3 linked regions of the Callithrix jacchus genome follow. The main gene of each other region encodes a partner of the protein of the gene in region 2 in a complex. Links are inferred from orthologs where the notes say so. Each region holds a gene or a part of one and is shown on either strand. Other genes may lie near its edges.

Region 1 (6,592 bases), on a different chromosome or scaffold from region 2:
GTCTGACTTCCCTCATCAGGCAAGATCAATTTGAGCCTTTACTTTCTCCATCTTAAGCGAGTTTGGTTGGGTTTCTCTCTGTGATGCATACATACAGGTCCACCTGGTTGGTATTGACATCTTTACTGGGAAGAAATATGAAGATATCTGCCCGTCAACTCATAATATGGATGTCCCCAACATCAAAAGGAATGATTTCCAGGTATGTAGATGGTCTGAATGAAGATGGGTTAGTGGTTTATGGTGGAGGGGGATTGGAGGACAGGGACTGACCAGAAGAGCTTGTGCTGGGAGATAGGAGGGAAATGGCAGGAGAGGGTATTTGGTATTAGTTTGCTGTCATTCCAATCTGTCTCAGAGCCTTTACTCTCAGCCTACCTGGGCTAGTTACTACCTTCAGCTTCCTTCCCTATGTGCCCCCAGCTGATTGGCATCCAGGATGGGTACCTATCACTGCTCCAGGACAGTGGGGAGGTGCGAGAGGACCTTCGTCTGCCTGAGGGAGATCTTGGCAAGGAGATTGAGCAGAAGTATGACTGTGGAGAAGAGATCCTGGTATGGTGCCTCCCTCCCTGCTTTTGTGCTCAGCTTTGCTCTGTACATTTTTTCCTCTGAGCTCAGACATCTGGCTGTCCCTCTTGCTCCTCCAGATCACGGTGCTGTCTGCCATGACAGAGGAGGCAGCTGTTGCAATCAAGGCCATGGCAAAATAACTGGCTCCCTGGTGAGTGTCACAAATCCTTCACTGTCGCCTTTACATTTTGTTGTCCTCACTCAGCAGAGCTGCTCTAGTCTTAATTGCTCCTTTCTGCCCCTAGCTTGGCCCTGTCTTCCCTCTCCTTCCTGTTGAAGGTGTATTATCCTGTCTTACCAATTTCTTTCTCCAACCCAGGGTGGCGGTGGTGGCAGCAGTGATCCTCTGAACCTGCAGAGGCCCCCTCCCCCAGCCTGGCCTGGCTCTGGCCTGGTCCTAGGCTGGACGACTCCTACACAATTTATTTGACGTTTTATTTTGGTTCCCCCCCCCAATCTGTCGGGGAGCCCCTGCCCTTCACCTAGCTCCCTTGGCCAGGAGCAAGCGAAGCCATGGCCTTGGTGAGCTGCCCTCCTCTCCTCCCCTCACACTACAGCTCTGGTGGGGGAGAAGGGGTGGGTGCTGCTTGTGGATTTTTTTTTTTTTTTTTTTTTTTTTTTTTTTTTTTTTTATTCAATCTGGAATCAGAAAGCAGTGGATTCTGGCAAATGGTCCTTATGCCCTCCCCACTCATCCCTGGTCTGGTCCCCTGTTCCCCATGGCCCTTTACCCTAAGCACCATCCCAACAGAATGGGGACCAGCCCCTCCCCTGCCTGCGTCTCTCTCCCCAAACCCCTTTAGATGGGGAGGGAAGAGGAGGAGGGGGAGGGGACTTGCCCCTCCTCAGGCATCTGGGAGGGCCCTGCCCCCATGGGCTTTACCTTTCCCTGCGGGCTCTCTCCCCGATACATTTGTTAAAATCAAACCTGAATAAAACTACAAGTTTAATATGAAGCCCCCAACTCAGCTGCTTATTTCAATTAAATGGGTATATTTGGAACCCACAAAAAGACTGACCTCTGCCACTGAGTTCATTGAAACCCACTATCTGTATCACTTTGACTTGCTGTAGACCTGCCAGCCTAACCCAACCCTTCAAGCAGCCTTGACCTATTCCAGACAGTTGGGTGGGAGGCAACACAAACAGCAGCAGCCAGGGGCAGTGGCAGGTAGATTTTATTGGCCTGGGACACACAGGGGGTACCCTCACCCACAGTAGGATGGGGGGTATGGTGTTGAAGATAATAATCTGATGGTCACTTGTGGTAGAATCGCGGGTTCTGGCTGTGTTGGATGAAGGGGAGCCGAGGGCCAGGTTGGCTGGTAGCTGCAAAGCCCGACTGGCGGTGGTGATGAAAAGAGGGCTTTGTCACTGGGCATACTTTCCCTTCCACTAATACCCTTACTGATAACCACCCCCAAAGAGGAAGGTAAAACCAGATGATGTGGGCCACCTGTCCTACCTAATTCTGCTTTTCTGGGATAGGGATTCTGACAGGTAAGGTTATTACCATTCTTACCTTTCCTGCTGGTTGGATCTGCACAGGGAGCTGGGGGGAAGCAAGGAGTCCAGGGGCTGGATGCAGAGCCTGGGGGTGCATGGGGCGCAGAGAGGACTGCAGAGAACAGAGTCAGGGCCTGACGCATACTGAAGCTCCTCTTAACATATCCTTAACCCTGACCTCCCAAGCGCCATACTCACTGAGTCAGAGAAGCCCGTCTGCTGGTTAGCATGTTCCATCTGCTTTTGCAAGGACAGGGCACCACCAGGCTGGAGGAAACCTAGGTGGGGAGCAGGGGCATGTGAAACAATGAGACAGGGAGGGGAGGACCCAGAGAGCTAGAGGTCCTGCATGGGATGTTATCACCTGTCTGAGTGGGCTGAAAGTGGCCGTGTACCGCATAGGGCTGTGGTTGTGGCTGAGATAGGTACTGCACTGCAGGGAACGCTGAAGGAGCTGAGAAAGAGACACGGCTATTAACCCTTTACTCAATAGCATTCCTCTTTTGACCCTGAGGAAAGCCAAGCCCCCATCCCTCCGACGACTCACCTCTGAGCTGCTGACTAGGACTATAAGCTGGCTGTGTGGGCCCATAGTGAGGTGGGGGCTGAGCAGTCCCATAGGCACCACCAGGACTGCCTTGGAATTGTCCATGCTCTGGTGTCCCCGCAAAAGCAGCTGCTGAGCCCACATAGTGCCGAGTCTAAGGAGGGAGAATGAGAACTCACCTACAAGCTCCATGAAAGCTGAAACTCAGTGACTTGTGTATATCTTTATGCTCTTGTTTCCCCCTAAATTTAAGTGCTTGATATGTCTGTGACTTGAATACTGGTGGCAAGGATATTTGGGACTAGGCATCCAATCCTATTCTTACCGTAAGCACTTGGGGTCCAAACATTTGTTTGGCTCTGTCAGCTGCCATAAGCGTGCCTGGGCGATTGTGTCCTCCAGGGCTCCCTAGAAAGGGAGAAGGGCGGCAGGATGCTGAAATGGTAGGCTGCAACCTCAAAGAAGGCTGGTTCTATCAGGTAGTTTTTTTAATCCTCACCTTGCATGCTGAGGAGATGAGTTCCTGTGTGAACAGTCAGGCTCTGCTGGTATGCAGCTGATGTCAGGGTGGTCAGGTCACTGGAGCGGAAGGAAAACAGATCAAAGTCAAGGACAGACACTCTCTCTTTTGTCGTTAAAACACTGGTTGTCTTACTATCTGATCCCAGTTCCACTTAGCCCCCATTTCGGTTTTTATCACTCTGATCCCACCTTTGTTCCTTTCGCCTCCGTTTTTCTTCCTCATGTAAAACTTTCTTGAGCTGCAGGAAAAGCTGGTGCTTTTCTTCCTGTAGGGCCAAAAGCTTCTCCTGCAACTTCAGAATCTGGTATGGGGTGGGGAGAGAAGATGAAGGCAGGGAGAGTCAAGGGAAGAATTTAGAGCTTGGAGAGATCAAGGGACTGCTTACTTGTTCCTTGGTCTCCTCTAGTGACATTCTCTCTTCCATCTCCTTTTTCTTCCTTCTTTCTTGCTCTTCCTTCATCTTCTGTTCCATCATCTTGTCCACCTCTTCTTCCTCTGGAGAATCACGCAGAATGAGGAAGAGGCAGGGTAGTAAAAATTCCAACGTTACAGATTGAAGACCAGCAAAACCCAGTCATCCCAACACGCCTGTGGGCTCTTTGCCTCGAGGGGACAAGCTCCCCAACGCTGCAATAGGGAATGGAATGGAGAGACTTTATCAGGTGCTCTCCAAGGTCCTTCCCAGCTCAAGGGTCCTGGAGAGTGGACTAGGACGCTTAAATCCTACCACAACAGAGCTGTTCGTTCCCTCCTCTGCGCTCGGCAGCGGGCGCGCAGGTTGGCCGGTGGGTTGGGGCCAGCCCTGAGGTACAGGAGCCATTCTGGGCCGTATGCCCTCCGCTATGGCCCCGGCTCACCCTGCCTCTTGCGCTCCCGTTCCATCATAATGTGCCGGTGCAGCGCCCTGGCCATGGCGTTGGAAAGCTTGGGGCGCTCCAGAAGTGCAGGCATGGTGCTGCCGTGGACGCCCGGCTCTGTCTCTCACTGCCAGACCTCAGACGAGACCTACGGAGAGGCGGGCGCTCAGAGGGGCCCGCGCCCGGCTCAGGCGGAAACCCGCTCGCCGCCCCGGTCACGTGTCCCGGGAGCCCGCCACCCGGCCGAGCCCGCAGCCCCCGCTCCAGCACGCGCGCGGGCGGCGCTGGGTCCCCGGCTCGGTGCTGCCGCTCCCTGCCTGGCCAGCCCGGACGCCAACCCTCCTTACCAGCCTTCTCTGCGCTTTTTCCGCGGCTCCGGCGCGCCCTGGACCCTACGTCACATCCGGTGGCCCGACGAGTCCTTCCGGAGTCACGGCGGCGGCCGATCTCACTGATTGGGTGGGAGAAGGCGGAAGCGCGATGCGACGGGTACCCGCGGCGTCCAAACCCCGTCGCCGCACAACTGCCTTGGCATCTTCAGTTCTCTTAATTTCGCGGGCCCGCCTGGCAGTACCCCAGGGGACGCAGGATCCGGAAAGGGGCGCGTGAGAGAGAGGCTGAAGCGGAGGCTCTGAGACGATGTTTATTGGCTCCTTAGAAATCAGAGTCAGTAACAACTGTACAGAGGCCCCCGTCTTCCGTGCGCCCGCCCTTCCCCACTCCCGCCCAGTGGCCCCGGCAAAAGCAGCTTCATGTGGGCACAGGTAGAGACTCCTCTGGGATTCACAGTAACCAGTAACAAAAACTGAAATAAATTAAGTGATGTCGGGGAGGGGAGTAATAGGGAGTTATGTTCCACAAATCAGTGCATGAAGAAGGGTACCAAGGCCTGGAGCTAGGCTCTCGCAGCTCCTCCCCTCAGACGGAGTGCTGGGCGTCTGGACCTGGAGTGTGCCGCTTCCCACCTACATCTGAGAGCCTGCCTACATGCTCCTGAGCGGCCGCCGAGCCCCAGCACCTGCGCATGCCACAGTCACGGGAATGAGGTGGAGGCAGTCGCCACTCGGAGTCCATGGGCCTGAGGCCCGACTGTGCTTGTAGTAGTGGTGTCTCACCCCTCATTCCACCCGTACCAGCAGAGCATAGAGGAGTGTGGCCCCCTTCTCCTTAGTGACCCACTCAAGTTCGGCTGGGCTGAAGTGAGGGTCAGAAGGTTCTCCAAGGGCAGCGGAAGGGGGTCCTGGGGTGTAGGAGCCAGGACGCACACACACCTGGAACGCCACCTGAGCCTGGTGCGTCCGCTGGGATTTGGGGTCCCGGAATCTGTCAGACAAGAAGAAATAGGGGAGTGAAGCCTCTCACCCCATCACCTCTCCCCTTGCAAAGTCTGTTCCAACCACACAAGCCTTGCTTTACCTAGGAAATCCTCTCACCTTTTGGGAACTTCGTTCTAGCTGTTCTTTCTACCTGAAATGCTCTTCCTCCCAAAGCCTGCTCAGCTACCCTTTACTTCCTTCTTCAAGCCTTTGCTCGAATGTCTCCCACCTTCCAGGCTGGAGTGCAGTGGCACAATCTCAGCTCACTGCAACCTCTGTCTCCTGGGCTCAAGTGATGCTCTTGCCTCAGCCTCCCAAGTAGCTGGGACTACAGGCAGGTGGCACCATGCCAGGCTAATTTTTGTATTTTTAGTAGAGATGGGGTTTCACCATATTGGCCAGGCTGGCCTTGAATTCCTGACCTCATGATCTGCCCGCTTTGGCCTCCCAAAGTGCTGGGATTACAGGTGTGAGCCACTGCACCTGGCCTCCCACCTTCTTATGATGCCCACAGCAACAGCACTGCTGTTTCCTTCACCCCACTCTTTGTTTCCGTAGTTCTTACTCAGACCTACTAAATGTTTATTATATGTAAACATTACAGAGAAAAGGCAGAAGTTCCACAAGAGCAAGTTTCCTTTTTTTGCCCACTAGATGAGCATACAAGTGGTATTTGTTCAATAAGTGAAGAAAGGGCTGAGTTGGAGACTGGGCAGCTAGCAAGACAAGATGAGAAAAGGGGACGGTAAATCACGAAGACCCCAGTGACTGCGCTGAGGCCCCTCTCCGTCTGAGGCCCTGGAGATCTCCCCGCCCCTCCCAGTACTCACTGCACTTTGGAGGCCAGGGACTCAGCCCCAGCATATTGAAGGGAGGGGGAAAGCAGCACCGGAGGGGGCTGCTCCTCCCGAGGAGGTGCACAGTTCTCGCCAGGCTCCTCAAACCCTACCCTAGGCTCTCCCTTCAAGGGACGGCAGCTCAAGATGGAGGCAGTACCTGGGAGGAGAACTGGGTTAGGACAGCCCTCTTTATTCCTCCATAGCCCCCGGGCTCAGCCCACCCTTCGAGGGCCTGCTCCCAGTACCTGCTCCCAGCTCCCCTCGGTCCAGCACTCTCCGTACAGCTGCCACATTGCTCCCATGATATGCCATGTGCCATTTCTTGGTTAGTGTCCCAGCCTCCAGGCAGGGATTCACTCTAGGAAGTAGATAAGTGGGGCAGATAGAACAAAGGCCACTGGCTCCCTCATGGAGGAGCTTCACAGGTCTCT
Region 2 (6,867 bases):
TGGTGCATGCCTGTAATCCCAATACTTTGGGAGGCTAAGGCGGGAGGATCATGAGGTCAGGAGTTGAAGACCAGTCTGACCAACATGGTGAAATCCCATCTTTACTAGAAATACAAAAATTAGCTGGGCATAGTGGAATGTGCCTGTAATCCCAGCTACTTAGGAGGCTGATGCAGGAGAATTGCTTGAACCTGGGAGGCAGAGGTTGCAGTGAGCCGAGATCGCGCCATTGCACTCCAGCCTGGGCAACAGAGTGAGACTCCATCTCAAAAAAAAAAAAAAAACAACAACTTAGAAGAAAACAAAGGGCAAAATCTTCACAACATTGGGCTTGGCAGTGATTCCTTGGTTATGACACCAGGAACAGGCAACAACAACAACAAAATACACAAATTATACTCATGGAAATTAAAAACTGGTGTGCATTTAAGGATACTAGCAACAGAGTGAAAAGGCAGCATACGGAATGAGAGAAAATATTTGCAAATCTATCTGATAAGGTGTTAATACTGAGGATATACAAAGAACTCCTACAACTCAACAAGCAAGCAAACAATTCGATTTGAAACAATCTGATTTAGTGCACTGTTGGTAGGAATGTAAAATGGTGCAGTTGCTATGAAAAATAGTACAGCAGTTCATCAAAAATTTAACAGTAGAACGATCATAAGATTCAGCAACTCCACTTCTGGAATATGCAGGCTTAAAGAAATGAAAGCAGGATCTGGAAGGGATATTTGCACACTCATGTTCATAGCAGCATTATTCACAATAGCTTAAATGTGGAATCAACACAAGTGTCCATCCACAGATGAACGGATCAGTGAAATGTGGTATATTCATACCATGGAATATTATTCAACCTTTAAAAGGAAGAAAATTCTACTTTGGGAGGATTAGGTAGATCGCTCGGGTTCAGGAGTTCAAGACCAGCCTGGTTGACACAGCAAGATCTCATCTCTACTAGAAATTAAAAAAAAAATTCACTGGGCATGGTGGTACACACCTGTAGTCCCAGCTACTCCAGAGGTCGAGGTGGGAGGATCCCTGGAACTCAGGAGTTAGAGGCTGCAGTAAGCTATGATGACGCCACTGCACTCCAGTCTGGGCACCTGACAATATTACAGAATTGTTGTCATCAGTGTGACAATAATATTGTGCTTATATTAGACAAGAGTCTTTATCTTTTAGAGACATATGCCTAATATTCACAGATGAAATGGTATAACATCCAGGATTTATTTTAAAATACCTTGGGGCTGTTGAACAGAGGAGGAGAAAATGAGGGAGTAGAGATGAAACAGGCTGCTGATGGTGGGTCGGGGTACATGAGGATTCACTGGAATCTTCTCTTTAATTTTGTATGTGTCTTTAAATTTCCTTTGTACAAGATTTATGCAAGAAAGAAGCAGGAGAGCACAGAGGTGGCCCAGGCTCTGGAGCTTGACTGTCAGGGTTCGAATCTTGGCTGTAAACAGCCCTGTGCAACACAGAACCTCTAGTCCCACAAGACTTCTAAATTAAAGTTAAAATCAAATAAAGTGTAAAATCTAGCTCCTTAGTCACATTAGCAACATTTTAAGAGCTCAAAAGCCACACGTGCTTAATATTCACAGATGAAGCCATATAAGTAATTATAGAGCACGCCCATCACTGAAAAAAGTTGTCGGACAGCACCGCCCTAACATTTCCTCTCTGCCACTCTGGGCAAGTTAATGTGTCTGTTTCCTCACTAGGAGAATCAGGAGCTACAAATACAAATAATAGCTAACACCTATATTGCTGATTAGGTGTTTAGTATATTCTATGTACTAACTCAACCCTCATGCAAATACTATCATCACCCCATTTTTAAGATGAGGAAACAGGGCACAGAGAGGTTATGTAACTTGCCTAAGACCACACAGCTAGTTAGTGGCTGGGCTGGAATCCAGGCCACGCTGTTCAGTCGCAGGTCCACACTCTCACAGGGGTGCCTGGACACTTACATGAGGTGACACTTATACACAGCATGCGGAGTCACACTTGGTGCATACGTAGTGTTCAGCAGACGTTGACTAGTAAGATTGTTGTGGTCCTAATGTGTACAGGACACTGAGATGTGATTTAACACACAACCAGGTATATGCTGGGAGCCCAATATTTTGGGGATCTAAATAAAAATCCCAAACCAGAAAGCATAAAGCAGGCTGCCAGGGTCTGAGTGGCTCGTGAGAGTTCCAACCCCTGGCGCTCACGATGATGATGGGGAACAGACACACACATGCAGAAGGCTAGCTGACAATCCCTGCTGGATGAGAAGAATCCAAGAGAGTGCATTTGTGCTTCTCCAGGCTGGGCTCTCCCGGGTGGATGTCAGAAGGCCCCACCCTGCCCTGGTGCTGAGGGGCCTGGGATGGGGTGGAGGAGCAGGGGAAAAAACCCTTTGCTTCTTCTCCATCAGCACAGCCCAGGCAGGGAAGCAGGAGTGCAGCCATCCAGGGACTCTCACGAGTGAGGGTTGTTGGGGCTCGACCATCAACAAGGGAGGCAGAAGCGGTCTGCAGCCGGCAAACACAAACAGCCCTGTCCTCAGGTCTCCGCCTTCCCCGCCCCTGCGCTGCCCATCATTCTGGTCCAGCACAGATGCCTCCCTGCAGGCCCACAGGAAGTACAGATTGAGTCAGAGAGCGAGCCAAGACAAGGCCTCTTTCTTCCTGATGAGATTAGGCCTGCGGGAGTGCCTCCTCCCTACATCTGACACTGCCCAGAGCCACCGTCCCTGGACTGGCCTCCTCCTCCTGCCCTGCCTCCTCCCCAGCCAGCCCTGCCCCCCACAGCCCCCACCTGCTCTCTACTCCTCTCCCAGGCCATGCCAAGGCCTGAGCAGCCTTCTCTCTTGGGGATTCAGGCCTAGAGTATTCCGACCTCAACTCTGGCCCTGCCCCTTCCCGACGTCTGTTGAAACCCACCCGGGTCCCCTCTGTCCTCAGGATAAAGTCCTCTGCTGGACTTGGGTTTTGAGGTCTCTACATTCCCCCTGCGTCCCTGATCTCCTTCTCATCTCCACAGACCTGTTCTCTAAGCTGAACTGGTCTGTCTGCTTTCCCCTCAAAGCATCACATTTTTCAAAAGAGAAGGGGAGAAGCAAAAAGAAAATAAAGAAGCATCATGTTTTCCCAGATAATCCATCTTTGCTCATGCCCCTTCCCTCCACCTAGAACTACTCCAGCCCAGGTAAGTTGCTGGGTGGCACTTAGCGGGGCTCTTAGGATGCCCCTTCCTCTCACCCCACCTTCCTGGCCCAGCTCCAGCAGAACCACCTCCAGGGAGCCTCCCCGCCTCCCAGACTGAGCAGTCTCTCCATCCCATGCAGTCCCATCCTGACATTTGGGGAGGTAGCCAAGGGCAGGGAAAAAGAAGTCACCAGTTTCAAGCCCTGGACCCCTGTTTGTCTCTGTACCATAGCATTAGAGTACCCTAATATTTTTCTCATAGAATCTAGAAGATTAAATTAGATCATGTACGTAAAAGACTTTGCATGTGTCTGGCACAACGTAGGAGCTCGGCTCATGGAAGTGCCCCTCCCCTCCTCCTTTCCTGCCCACTGTGTTTTTTCCTTCTCTTCCTTCCTCCCCCACCAACACACCCCGAGGACTGTCAACCCCAGATGGTTCTCCCCTTCTGCTGCGCCCATGTACAGCCCTGTGGGGACCCAGGGGGAGGCCCACCTGACTCTCAGCTTGAGCTTCCATTCAAACCAGCAGCTTCTTCCGAATTCCACCTTGGGGTGCTAGGAGCCAACGGGCTGGGCCCATCACTGTCATAGCAGTGTGCTGGTCAGGCTGGAGAATCCCAATTCTTTTTTTTTGCTTTGTTTTTTTCTTTTTTTGAGACAAAGTCTTGCTCTGTCACCCAGGCTGGAGTGCAATGGCGCAATCTTGGCTCACCGCAACCTCTGCCTCCGGGGTTCAAGTGATTCTCCTGCTCAGCCTCCCGAGTAGCTGAGATTACAGGCATGCACCACCACACCCAGCTAATTTTTGTACTTTTAGTAGAGACAGGGTTTCACCATGTTGCCCAGGCTGATCTTGAACTCCTGACCTAAGGTGATCCACCCGCCTCTGCCTCTCAAAGTGCTGAGATTACAGGTATGAGCCACTGAGCCCTGGCCGATAATCCTAATTCTGACACCAATTCACTCCATGACCTTGGGCAAATCTCATCCCCTCTCCCGCTTTCTGTGTTTCTATCCACATGATAGTAACAGCCCTGCCCTGCCCACCTGTTAGGATGATCTGTGAGGGCGCTGCAGCCTGCACACGCCAGACACACTCAGGACCTCGAGGGCGGCAGAGCTTGTCCACCTGTCAGCCGTCCTCAGAAGGCTGGTCTCCTTCCTGCCTAGGCCTTCTGAAGACACAGCAGAGCTTCTTCCTGTTTAACCCCCCAAATCAGGATCTGACAAAACTCCACACAGATTTATTGCCCCACAATCTCCTTATCTGGGAGTTTCGAGCGACAAGGGTCACTGGGGATTTTCCAAGACGCCTCCAGAGGCTGAAAATCTGGGCTCCACTTCCTGCTCACTGTCCACTTTCTGGCACAGAGCTTTCGGGCCTGTCTTTGGACAGAGAAGGACACTGAGGCCCAGAGAGGGAGAAAGCCTTGCTTAGGGTCCCACAGTCAGCCCAAGGCAGGGCTGAAGCTCTGCAACTCTGGTCCTGGGGCGGACATCCAACCAGGGCCCTGCATTCTGTTCTCAGCATGGACCCACAAATCAGCCCTCACTCTGCCTGCCTCAGGGACCGGGGGCCCAGAGTCAGTTCAGCCGACATCATCAGTGCCCACTGTGAGTCTGATGCCATGCTGGGCACTGTAAGGGAGATGCATGATGGACCCAGACAGGGTCAGGGTCAGTTACGGGGGAGCTCAGAGGATGGGGGAGGCCCCCATGTAACCAGCAAGCTCAATTCAGGGTCACCAGGGCTAAGGCCAGCGCCGCAAGTTGCAGCAGGGAGATGGAAATCTGGGGAGTCAGGGTGGGCCTCTGGGACGACACGGTTGAGCTGAGCCTTCAAGGTCAAGTAGAGCAAGCCCAGCAGAGGAGGGAAGGGGAGGCACCTGGGTGGAAGGTGCTGTGCTAGGCCACGCCTGGCCGTGTGTGGTGTGTGGAGATAGAGCTAGGAGCTTTCAGCTCAGCGGGGTGGGGGGGTGGGAGACTTGGTCTAGGCAAATGCAGGCCAGCATTGGGGCTGCGGCTGGAAGAGGGGCTGTGGCGGCAGGGGGATGCTGATGAGATGGCACCTGAGACATTGGGGAGGCATCAAAGTTTGTAACTGGGGGTGTGACACAGAGCCAAAGGAGACTTAGCCCCTGCAATTAGGAAGTTAGGACACTGAGCCTGGGAAACGATTTTCTTTCCTCAACTTTGGGCTGGTATCTAAGGAAGACATAAGTGGGTTTCATTTCAAGTCCAGCTCCAGTGGGCTGGAGAGGTTGCAGAATGCCATGAGGAGGACGGGGAGAGTTCTGAGGCTTTCCGTGCTTGGACTCAGGAGGGTGTGACTGCCCTGGGGCAAGAGTCCCTAGATACCACTGAGGGCCTGCCTTCTCCTGCAGATGCTGGCAGCTCCGCACCCTACTTGTGAGCTCAGCCCAGCACCCCACTTGTGAGCTTGGCCCCACACCCCACTTAGGAGCTTGGCTCCGAACCCCACTTCTGAGCTCGGCCCTGCACCCCACTTGTGAACTCGGCCCCACACCCCACTTCCAAGCTCAGCCCTGCACCCCACTTCCAAGCTTGGCCCCACAGCGGGAAGGGGATGGGAAGTTCTTTTCTGCTACTTTCTCAGCTGCTTGTTAACATGGAGAGAAATGCTTCTGCTCACCCTTCATCAGTCCCCAGCAGGGTCTACAACAGCTGGCAGGAGAGGATGGCCAGGCCCCTCCTCCCTGCCTCCCACCCCCAGGAGCTCCACCGAAATTGTTTGTTCAGGCTGGGCCTGCAGGCCAGGGCAGTCAGGAGGCCAGATTGCCCTTCTCAAATTTCAAGTGCCAGCAGCCAAGGCTTTTGAGGATGCAAAGAGGGCAGGAAAGATGTCGGTGCCCCGGTGGGAAAAGCACTTCCGCCCACAAGGCTGGCTGTGAGGAAGGGTGACAGCATCACATTTAGATGTGTTTGCCTGCCTTGTCACATGCTCAGAGTCACCTGGGGGCTGGAAAACAACAATTCCAGGTGATGGCTTACTCTTCAAACCCAGCATTTTAGGAGGCCTAGGAGGGAGGATCACTTGGGGCCAGGAGTTCCAGATTAATCTGGGCAACATAGCGATTCTGTCTCTACAAAATCAAACTAACAAACTGTGATTGTTCGGCCCACCTAGAGTTTCTGATTCAGCAGAGCAGGTGGGAGCTGTGAGGCTGCACTTCCACCAAGTTCCCAGGTGACTAGGAAGCCGCTGGCCCAGGGGCCACTCTTTGAGAACCACTGCTCTACAGCCCAGCAAACGATTCACAACTGTGGCTCAGTTTACCCCTCACAACCACCTGGGGGCGGGGAGGATTATCTCCTCTTCATGAGTGTGGCTGGGGCACTCTGCAGAGCAGCCAAGTCAGTTTTCTGAGGTTACGAGATTACTAAGCAGCAGGAACCCCTGTCTAAACTTCAAGGGTTCCATGAGCACTCAACCACCCCCCAACTCGGTGGCCACTTGCAGCCTGCTCCTTGGCTTCCTTTTTTTTTTTTTTTCTTTCTTTCTTTCTTTTTTTTGAGATGGAGTCTCGCTCTGTTGTCTAGGCTGGAGTCCAATGGCGCGATCTCGGCTCATTTTAACCTCCGCCTGTTGGGTTCAAGTGATTCTCCTGCCTCAGCCTCCCAAGTAGCTG
Region 3 (6,709 bases), on a different chromosome or scaffold from region 2:
ATTGGCAGTATTTAGAAAGGCTATTTCACCACTGCCAATCTTAAAAGTAGGAAATACAGCAGCTCCCAAGAAGATAGTTTTTTTTTTTTTTTTTTTTTTTTTTTTTTGAGACAGATGGATTCTCACTCTGTCCCGAGGCTGGAGTGAAGTGGTGGCTAGGTTTCAACTGACTGCAACCTCCGCCTCCCAGCTTCAAGCGATTCTCCTGCCTCAGCCTCCCAAGTAGCTGGGCCTACGGGCGCACACCACCGGGCCCACGGGCGCACACCACCGGGCCCACCTAATTTTTGTCTTTTTAGTAGAGACCGGGTTTCACTATGTTGGCCAGGATGGTCTCCACATCTTGACCTCCTGATCCGCCCAGCTCAGCCTCCCAGAGTGCTGAGATTACAGGCAAGACCGCATCTTAGTAAATGGTGCTAGGGAGTTCAGCACAATGATCTGAGTCCTGTGAATTTCTTTTACCCATTCAATCACTTGACCCAGTTAGTGGAGATGCTCAACTGTACCTCATCAACTTGATTAAAAACACAAGTTTTTGGAAAAGCCACACAGATCAAGACTAACAAAACAGCTGGGAAAATTCCACAGATGCAGCCATCTAAGACAGACCCAGGTTTGAATCCCAGTGCTCATTTAATCATTTTGTGGCCCTGAACAAGTGAATTAACTTCTTTTGCACCTCTGTTTCATCTACAAAAAGAGCCCAACACTACCTCACAGGATTAGCCTGGGGAATAAATGGCAGAGAAAGCACCTCACACCTCCTAGAGCATAGCTATGAGCACCTAGTCCCTCCCTCTCTGGCTCTCTGGTAACAAGGCAATTAACTGTACTCTTTACAGAATCCAATCTCACAGGGGTAAATAGCCAAATCTTTCCAGGATCAGATCTCTCACTGAGCCTTTTCTCTTTAAGTTTCTGTTGGTGGCAGAGCAGGAGAGGGTGCTTAAACTGAAGGATACTCAGCAATTCTTTACTCCACAGCTTTAGGGTCCTGGCCCTTCTCTTCTACCAGAATGTCTGAGCACAGAGTATAAATGTCTCATGTTCACTGCTTTCCTTTTTTGCATTTCAGTGACTTATACTGTAAATGCTATTTGTGAAATGAGTCCAATTCACATGTACTAGAAAAACACACGTTCTAGTGAGTGCCAATGTTTCTGCCATCTCTCCTCTGACTTCCTACCATTCACATTCTTCTGTTCTTTTTATATAAATGACACCAAAATTCAACAAACCCAACAAATTATTTCAACCAACTTCATCAAAATGTGTCAAGTCAGAAATTCTTTATAATAGTACTTGCTACAAATTGTAGAAGGAAGATTCCTTTGTCAGCTGCTCATCTGACAAGGTTGTATACATACTGCGCTGCCATATATGAACTGACGGATTTAATCAACAGGTTGAGGTTCAAAAGGTCTACTAATCATATTTCCTTTTATCAGTAGTCCCTATGTTTATATTATCTTCGGCCCTTTCTACATGTTGGCTTGAAAGGCTCCTAATACACGGGAAGCTGGTGTCACGGTAATCATGCGAAACCTTTAATTAGGTGTTGAGAACGCAGTATCAATTTTTACTGGACATACGTTTTAAAATGCTTAACACTTCTTTGAAGCAACTAACGCAAAAATATCTCTGCAAGGGACCACTCCATTTATCACCAATGTCACCCACATTAGTAACCACAGCTGGTATATGTTAAAAATATATATATATCTTATAAACTGATTTGGTAAGCTTTGCAACCATTTTTATGCCATTAACATGTCACTTTAAGTTCCTTAACAGTAAGAAAAACTTTTCCCAGGCGTGTTCTCATGCCCCATACAGTTTAGTATTTTGTCCTGAGGTCTGATTCTAACAACTCAAACGGCAAAAAAAAAAAAAAAATAGGAGTTATTACGACTTTAATGATTGTGATTACATACATCTCAGTGCAGGAAAGGGGTGAAAAGAACATCATATTCCAAACGAACAAGAAAACCTGGATTTACGAGCAAGAAGCCCAATCACACATCAGGCCTAACTGCTCTCAGGCAGAGTTTCTTCCTGCAGCCCCTCCCCCACAGGTAAATGCTAACTATTTCTAGAACTCTCAGCAACAATTTGGGAAGCTTGCCATCAATTCCCATGATACCACCCAACATACACCATGTTTTGGGGAGACAAAGCTGCCCTACTTCCCCCGACTATAAACTTATTAAAACTGTGAGAACATACAATCCCAGGAAGCCAGGATTACTAAAATACATCCATGTAGCATAGGTCTTATTTTAATAAAAATGAAAATGAATCACACCGGAAAACCCAAACAGTCATTTTATCTTCAATGTGTAATCGGAATCGTTTATTCAAAGTTGTTGCAGGTAAGTGGATGAAAACACCACGAGGGCCTTATTACTACCCAAACTGGCGAAGGAGCCTTTAAGGAAAAAAGGAGGGGGTAGAAGATCACTTAATTATATGAGGTGCGGAATGGAAAAACCATTCAGTCTTAAAATTCAGACTAAAAATAACCTGTCATTTTCACCCACCACATTTTATTAACAAGCTTGTTTAGATCAGCATAAGGTTCCTGTTTGCGAAACAAGAAAGTGAATAGCAAACTTTCCTAAGTCAACTGTAAATCACATAGGTACGAAAACTCCTCACCCCCGGTGCCTGCACAGGCCAAGATTTTAAGTAAACTACAGACGCTGAGAACACCCTAATTTTCAACTAGCTCCCAACATTTCTCATTTGTAATCATCAAATTATCTTAGAGACACTTAGATAACCTAACAAAGAGAGCATTTTTAAAAGCCACAACCCAAATTTTATATGAAACACACCGTTTTCACAGCCTAAATTTAATCCCGGTTGCCACTGCGAAGTGATGCCTGTTTCAGCAATTTAAGAACTTCCAAAAATACTGAACACGTTAACACATGCATGGCTTCCCTCGAGCTGCCATTTAAGATTAATATTCCACGTAAATAAAAGTCTGCTTCTGCTCAAAAAATTAAATCGGTTGCAAAGAGGAAGTTACAGAGAAACCACCCTCACAACGTGGCCTTTACACTGTCAGAAAATAGCGTGACTCTGTGCCACCCAAACTTACCAGGAAGCTGGCAATAACTTTGCTAATTCTACACTCCTGAACCCAACTTCAAAGAGCCTCCACCAAATACCTCCTTGAGAGGATAAAAAGCACTAAGTTACAAATAAACACGTCCCGGAGCAAGGCCCGGCGGCCGCGCGCCCCTCCCCCGGCCGGCGCCCCCGCCCCGGACGCGCGGCCCCAACAGCCGCCCGCAGCCCCTCGCACGCCGGCCGGGGTCGCCGCTCCCGGGCCGGGGACGCGCCCGGGGAGGGGGCATTTCCATCGCTGCCCGAGGTTTCACAAAATAGCATGCACCGAAAAGCTCCTTCTCCTCTGCTAAAAATAGGCTATAAAGGAGTCGGCCTCATGATGGCTCCTTGATTCAATTTGCTGCAAATCCTTTCCTGAAAGCCTCCCCCCTCATACACACACGCACAAAAAGGGGGTGTAGATGCACGAAGGGTGGAACGGGGGAGAAGGCCGAGGTGCACATTTTCGGGGACAACATAATTAGGGTGAGGATCCCCCGAGACCAGGAAAGGGCAGGGGTGGGCAAGCACGTGAGCATTTCAAAGAAACCTGAGGAAAACGGGGGGATGGGGGCGCCCCAAGTGCCCTCCCTGCCTTCCCCTCCCCCACGCAAGCCCAGTTCCCCCAAGGGCCAAGTTGAAAAATGCATGTTCCACTCGCGCCCATCCCCCCCGCGGCCCAGCGCCCCCGGCCGCCTCCGGCCCGCGCCCCCAGCCCAGGCCCGCGGCCTCCCCCACTCCGGGGTCCGGCCCCCAGCGCTTACCTGGAAACGGTGGCCTCCAACGCCGCTCCCCCCTCCCAGGAATGGAGGCACAAGGAAATTCCCCTCCTCGCCGCCGCCGCCACCGCCTCCAACCACCCCCAAAATAACCCCTCCGGGGGGTGAGAGGCAATTATAACCCCAGCGAGCGGAGGGCGCGGGGGATGGGCGCCGGGCGGGCGGGGGCGGGGAGCGCGGCGCGGGTCCCCAGGTGGCGAGCGGAGGTGCTCCCGCCGCGGGGGGAGGGGCGGGGGCGCACGCGGCCGGCGGCGGGGGGAGGCGGCGCGCGGGGGAAGGGCGCGAGCGGGGAGAGGAATTGAGGCAGAAGGTAAAAGCTGTTACTAAGGGAAAGAGCCAAACGGTTCGGAGCAGCCAACGGCTCAGACACTCAACACTGGGGAGAGAGGAATGGGGACCAGCCAGGCACAAATGAGCTCGCGAGGCCCGCGGCGGCGGCGGCGGCGGCGGCGGCGGCCGCGCAGCAAAACAAACCCGAGCGGCCTGCGCCGGGCGGGCGGGCGAGCGGGCGGGCGCGCGGGGGAGGGGCCGGCGGGGGAGGGGCGCCGCGGACGCGGGGAGGCGGCGGCGCGGCGGGGGGGGCTCCGGCGGCGACGCTCTCCTCCCTCCCTGCCCGCTCCGGCGGCGCTGGGGGCTGGGCGTGTGCGGCGCATTCTTTTAAAAATCGGGCGAACCCCGCGGGCGCTCGGAGGCGCCTCGGGACCCGGCCGCCCGCCCCGCCCCCACCCCACCCCACCCCACCGCCGCGGGCCGGCCTGGGCGTGCTCGGGTGTGGGCCGCTGGGCCCCGGGCGGGTGGGGGTGGGGAGGCCCGCGCCGGGGCCGGGGTGGAAACGCCGGCGAAGTTTCCTAAGGAGGCCGCGGACTCCCGCGTGTCCGGGGGGCGGCCCGGCAGCGCTGGGGGCTGGGCGCACACGCGGCAGCATGTGCGGGAGCGCGGCGCGGCATCATAAGGACGTTTGTTGTGAAAATCTCTGTGCATACCTTTGTGTGCGTAAATACATATGGTTTTCCGAAGCGTACCTGGAAAGGTGCTTTATCTGTAATAAGCGACTTTCGAAATGTGATCCAGAGCACGGGATCTGGAGAGAAAACACACGCACACAAGAAAAGGTTTTTGATACTAAACACAAAGCTGAAATTGAAGTGTTTATGCCCAAATGTACTGCGAAGCAAGCATATGGTGGTATTTATCATCTGGTGGGTCTGTTTGAAAGGTTTGGTCGATCAGTTCTTATTTCACAAAATAAAATAATGTAACTAAATGTTTACTAAATATATACCTCCACGGCGGCATCCACAGTAGAAGTTTATCCACTCTGTGTACTTTTTGCATGTGTGAAGCACAGGAAGGCGGTTTATAAGGTATAACTTAGATGAGTGACAATGTGGCAGTATGATTGAGGGAGGGTCGTTTTTAAAGAAGGGCAGCACCTCACAGGTTTTGAGGCAAATGGGTGGTAATCTTTCTAAGACTTTCAGAAAGCTGGGGTGGGGTGCTTCTTACAGCTTTGTATAAGCTCAGCACTGGAGAAGCAGCCACCCTTTTAGTTAAGATACGACTTGAAACCTTTTTGCTATTTCGGTTATTACTGCCTTCAAAGCAAAATAATGTTTGCAGCTTTCTTAAAGGTGAAGGGTACGGTTTTTATACTTTCATCACAATATTTTAAATAGGTGTCCTGATCATTTTAAAGCAACCATCTTTTCATGTCAATATCAGAAGCCTAAAGTTCTGTGTATACACACACACACGTATTAATTGAAGTAACTTGCACCAGTCTGGACTCCCGGTGGCCTAATAAGTTCAGTGATTAGACAGGTGCTTACTTAGCCAAGGTCAATGTCTCTTTTCCCCATGAGCCCTTGCTTGGCGGAGCTGCCAGAGGCCCTTCTTGAATGACACAGTGGGGCAGGGAGCAGGAAAACCATCAGAGGAAAGGGAGTGGGATTGGAAACTCCCTTCCAACCACCAGAAAGGGAGTTCAAAGCGTATCAGTGGTGTGTCCTTAGAGGTATTTTCATGTATGAAAGAGGGAATGTTGGATTAAACAATGTCACCCGATGGGAATTTAGATAACTGCAGGTTTCCAAAACACTGTGCAGAGTGTACCGGGAAACAGCGCAAAGCAAGTTTTGCAATTCAGTTGGATTCTGAAGCTGAGGCTTGTTTACCTCAGAACTAACACCTTTGAAAAGACTTTATTTCAGAATTGATGAGTATTGTAGCTTCCTTTTGTTTTTTTTTGTTGATTAATGACATGAATATCACTAATCATATCCTGTCTTCAATAAGCACACTGTCTCTAAGTTGAACCACCCAGTGAAACATATCTATTGGATTACTTGGATTGTTTTTGAAGTTTCATATTGTACCACCACAAGCAGGTCTTCTCCATACTGCAGTGACCATAAACACACTTTCAGTGAATGAGGATTTCTCAAGCATACCAGTTTTTAAAGAGTCATATTCAAAGCTGTCCACCCCACCCTTTCTCTTTCCCCTAAATGACCTCTATCCCTTACTCCACAAGGGGGGAGACACCCTCTGATCAGGCCTTCCAGCCTCAAGTTCTTACACCCTACACCAATCTGCCTCCTAAAGTTGTTCAGTGTTAGTTGAGCCTCATTACAATGATAATAAAAATGTATGCATTTGTTTATATCCCTGTAGTTGACAAGATGTTTCTGTGCGTAAATTACTGCCTTTGAATATCCTGAAGATCATTGAGGTTGGGGACTTGCACCATAAATTCATTCCAATAAAGTGTGCTTTGCTCACCACTGTTGGATCATACTAATTGAAGAGAG

The links.
Region 1: CORO2A (region 2) and GPS2 share a complex: the UniProt entries of both Homo sapiens proteins name them as parts of the N-Cor repressor complex. The link is inferred for Callithrix jacchus from reciprocal best matches to the Homo sapiens genes CORO2A and GPS2.
Region 3: CORO2A (region 2) and TBL1XR1 share a complex: the UniProt entries of both Homo sapiens proteins name them as parts of the N-Cor repressor complex. The link is inferred for Callithrix jacchus from reciprocal best matches to the Homo sapiens genes CORO2A and TBL1XR1.

Annotation. Positions count from the first base shown.
Region 1 is NC_133506.1:73,796,200-73,802,791, forward strand, and holds GPS2 (G protein pathway suppressor 2), read right to left. Parts: upstream 4,412-6,592; 5' UTR 4,354-4,411; intron 4,155-4,353; 5' UTR 4,101-4,154; coding exon 4,007-4,100; exon of another isoform or gene 3,877-4,006; intron 3,777-3,876; exon of another isoform or gene 3,645-3,776; coding exon 3,535-3,644; intron 3,451-3,534; coding exon 3,338-3,450; intron 3,206-3,337; coding exon 3,126-3,205; intron 3,035-3,125; coding exon 2,952-3,034; intron 2,781-2,951; coding exon 2,627-2,780; intron 2,534-2,626; coding exon 2,444-2,533; intron 2,358-2,443; coding exon 2,278-2,357; intron 2,214-2,277; coding exon 2,096-2,213; intron 1,916-2,095; coding exon 1,782-1,915; 3' UTR 1,736-1,781; downstream 1-1,735. Other genes in the region: EIF5A (eukaryotic translation initiation factor 5A-1), read left to right, coding at 98-202, 424-555, 651-713; NEURL4 (neuralized-like protein 4), read right to left, coding at 5,125-5,329, 6,153-6,318, 6,407-6,519. UniProt on the Homo sapiens protein: Key regulator of inflammation, lipid metabolism and mitochondrion homeostasis that acts by inhibiting the activity of the ubiquitin-conjugating enzyme UBE2N/Ubc13, thereby inhibiting 'Lys-63'-linked ubiquitination.
Region 2 is NC_133502.1:146,291,632-146,298,498, forward strand, and holds the start of CORO2A (coronin-2A), read right to left. Parts: upstream 3,966-6,867; 5' UTR 3,735-3,965; coding exon 3,711-3,734; intron 1-3,710.
Region 3 is NC_133518.1:9,698,779-9,705,487, reverse strand, and holds the start of TBL1XR1 (F-box-like/WD repeat-containing protein TBL1XR1), read right to left. Parts: upstream 3,990-6,709; 5' UTR 3,885-3,989; exon of another isoform or gene 3,110-3,884; intron 3,096-3,109; exon of another isoform or gene 1-3,095. Other genes in the region: uncharacterized protein LOC144579870, read right to left, coding at 4,748-4,980. UniProt on the Homo sapiens protein: F-box-like protein involved in the recruitment of the ubiquitin/19S proteasome complex to nuclear receptor-regulated transcription units. Plays an essential role in transcription activation mediated by nuclear receptors.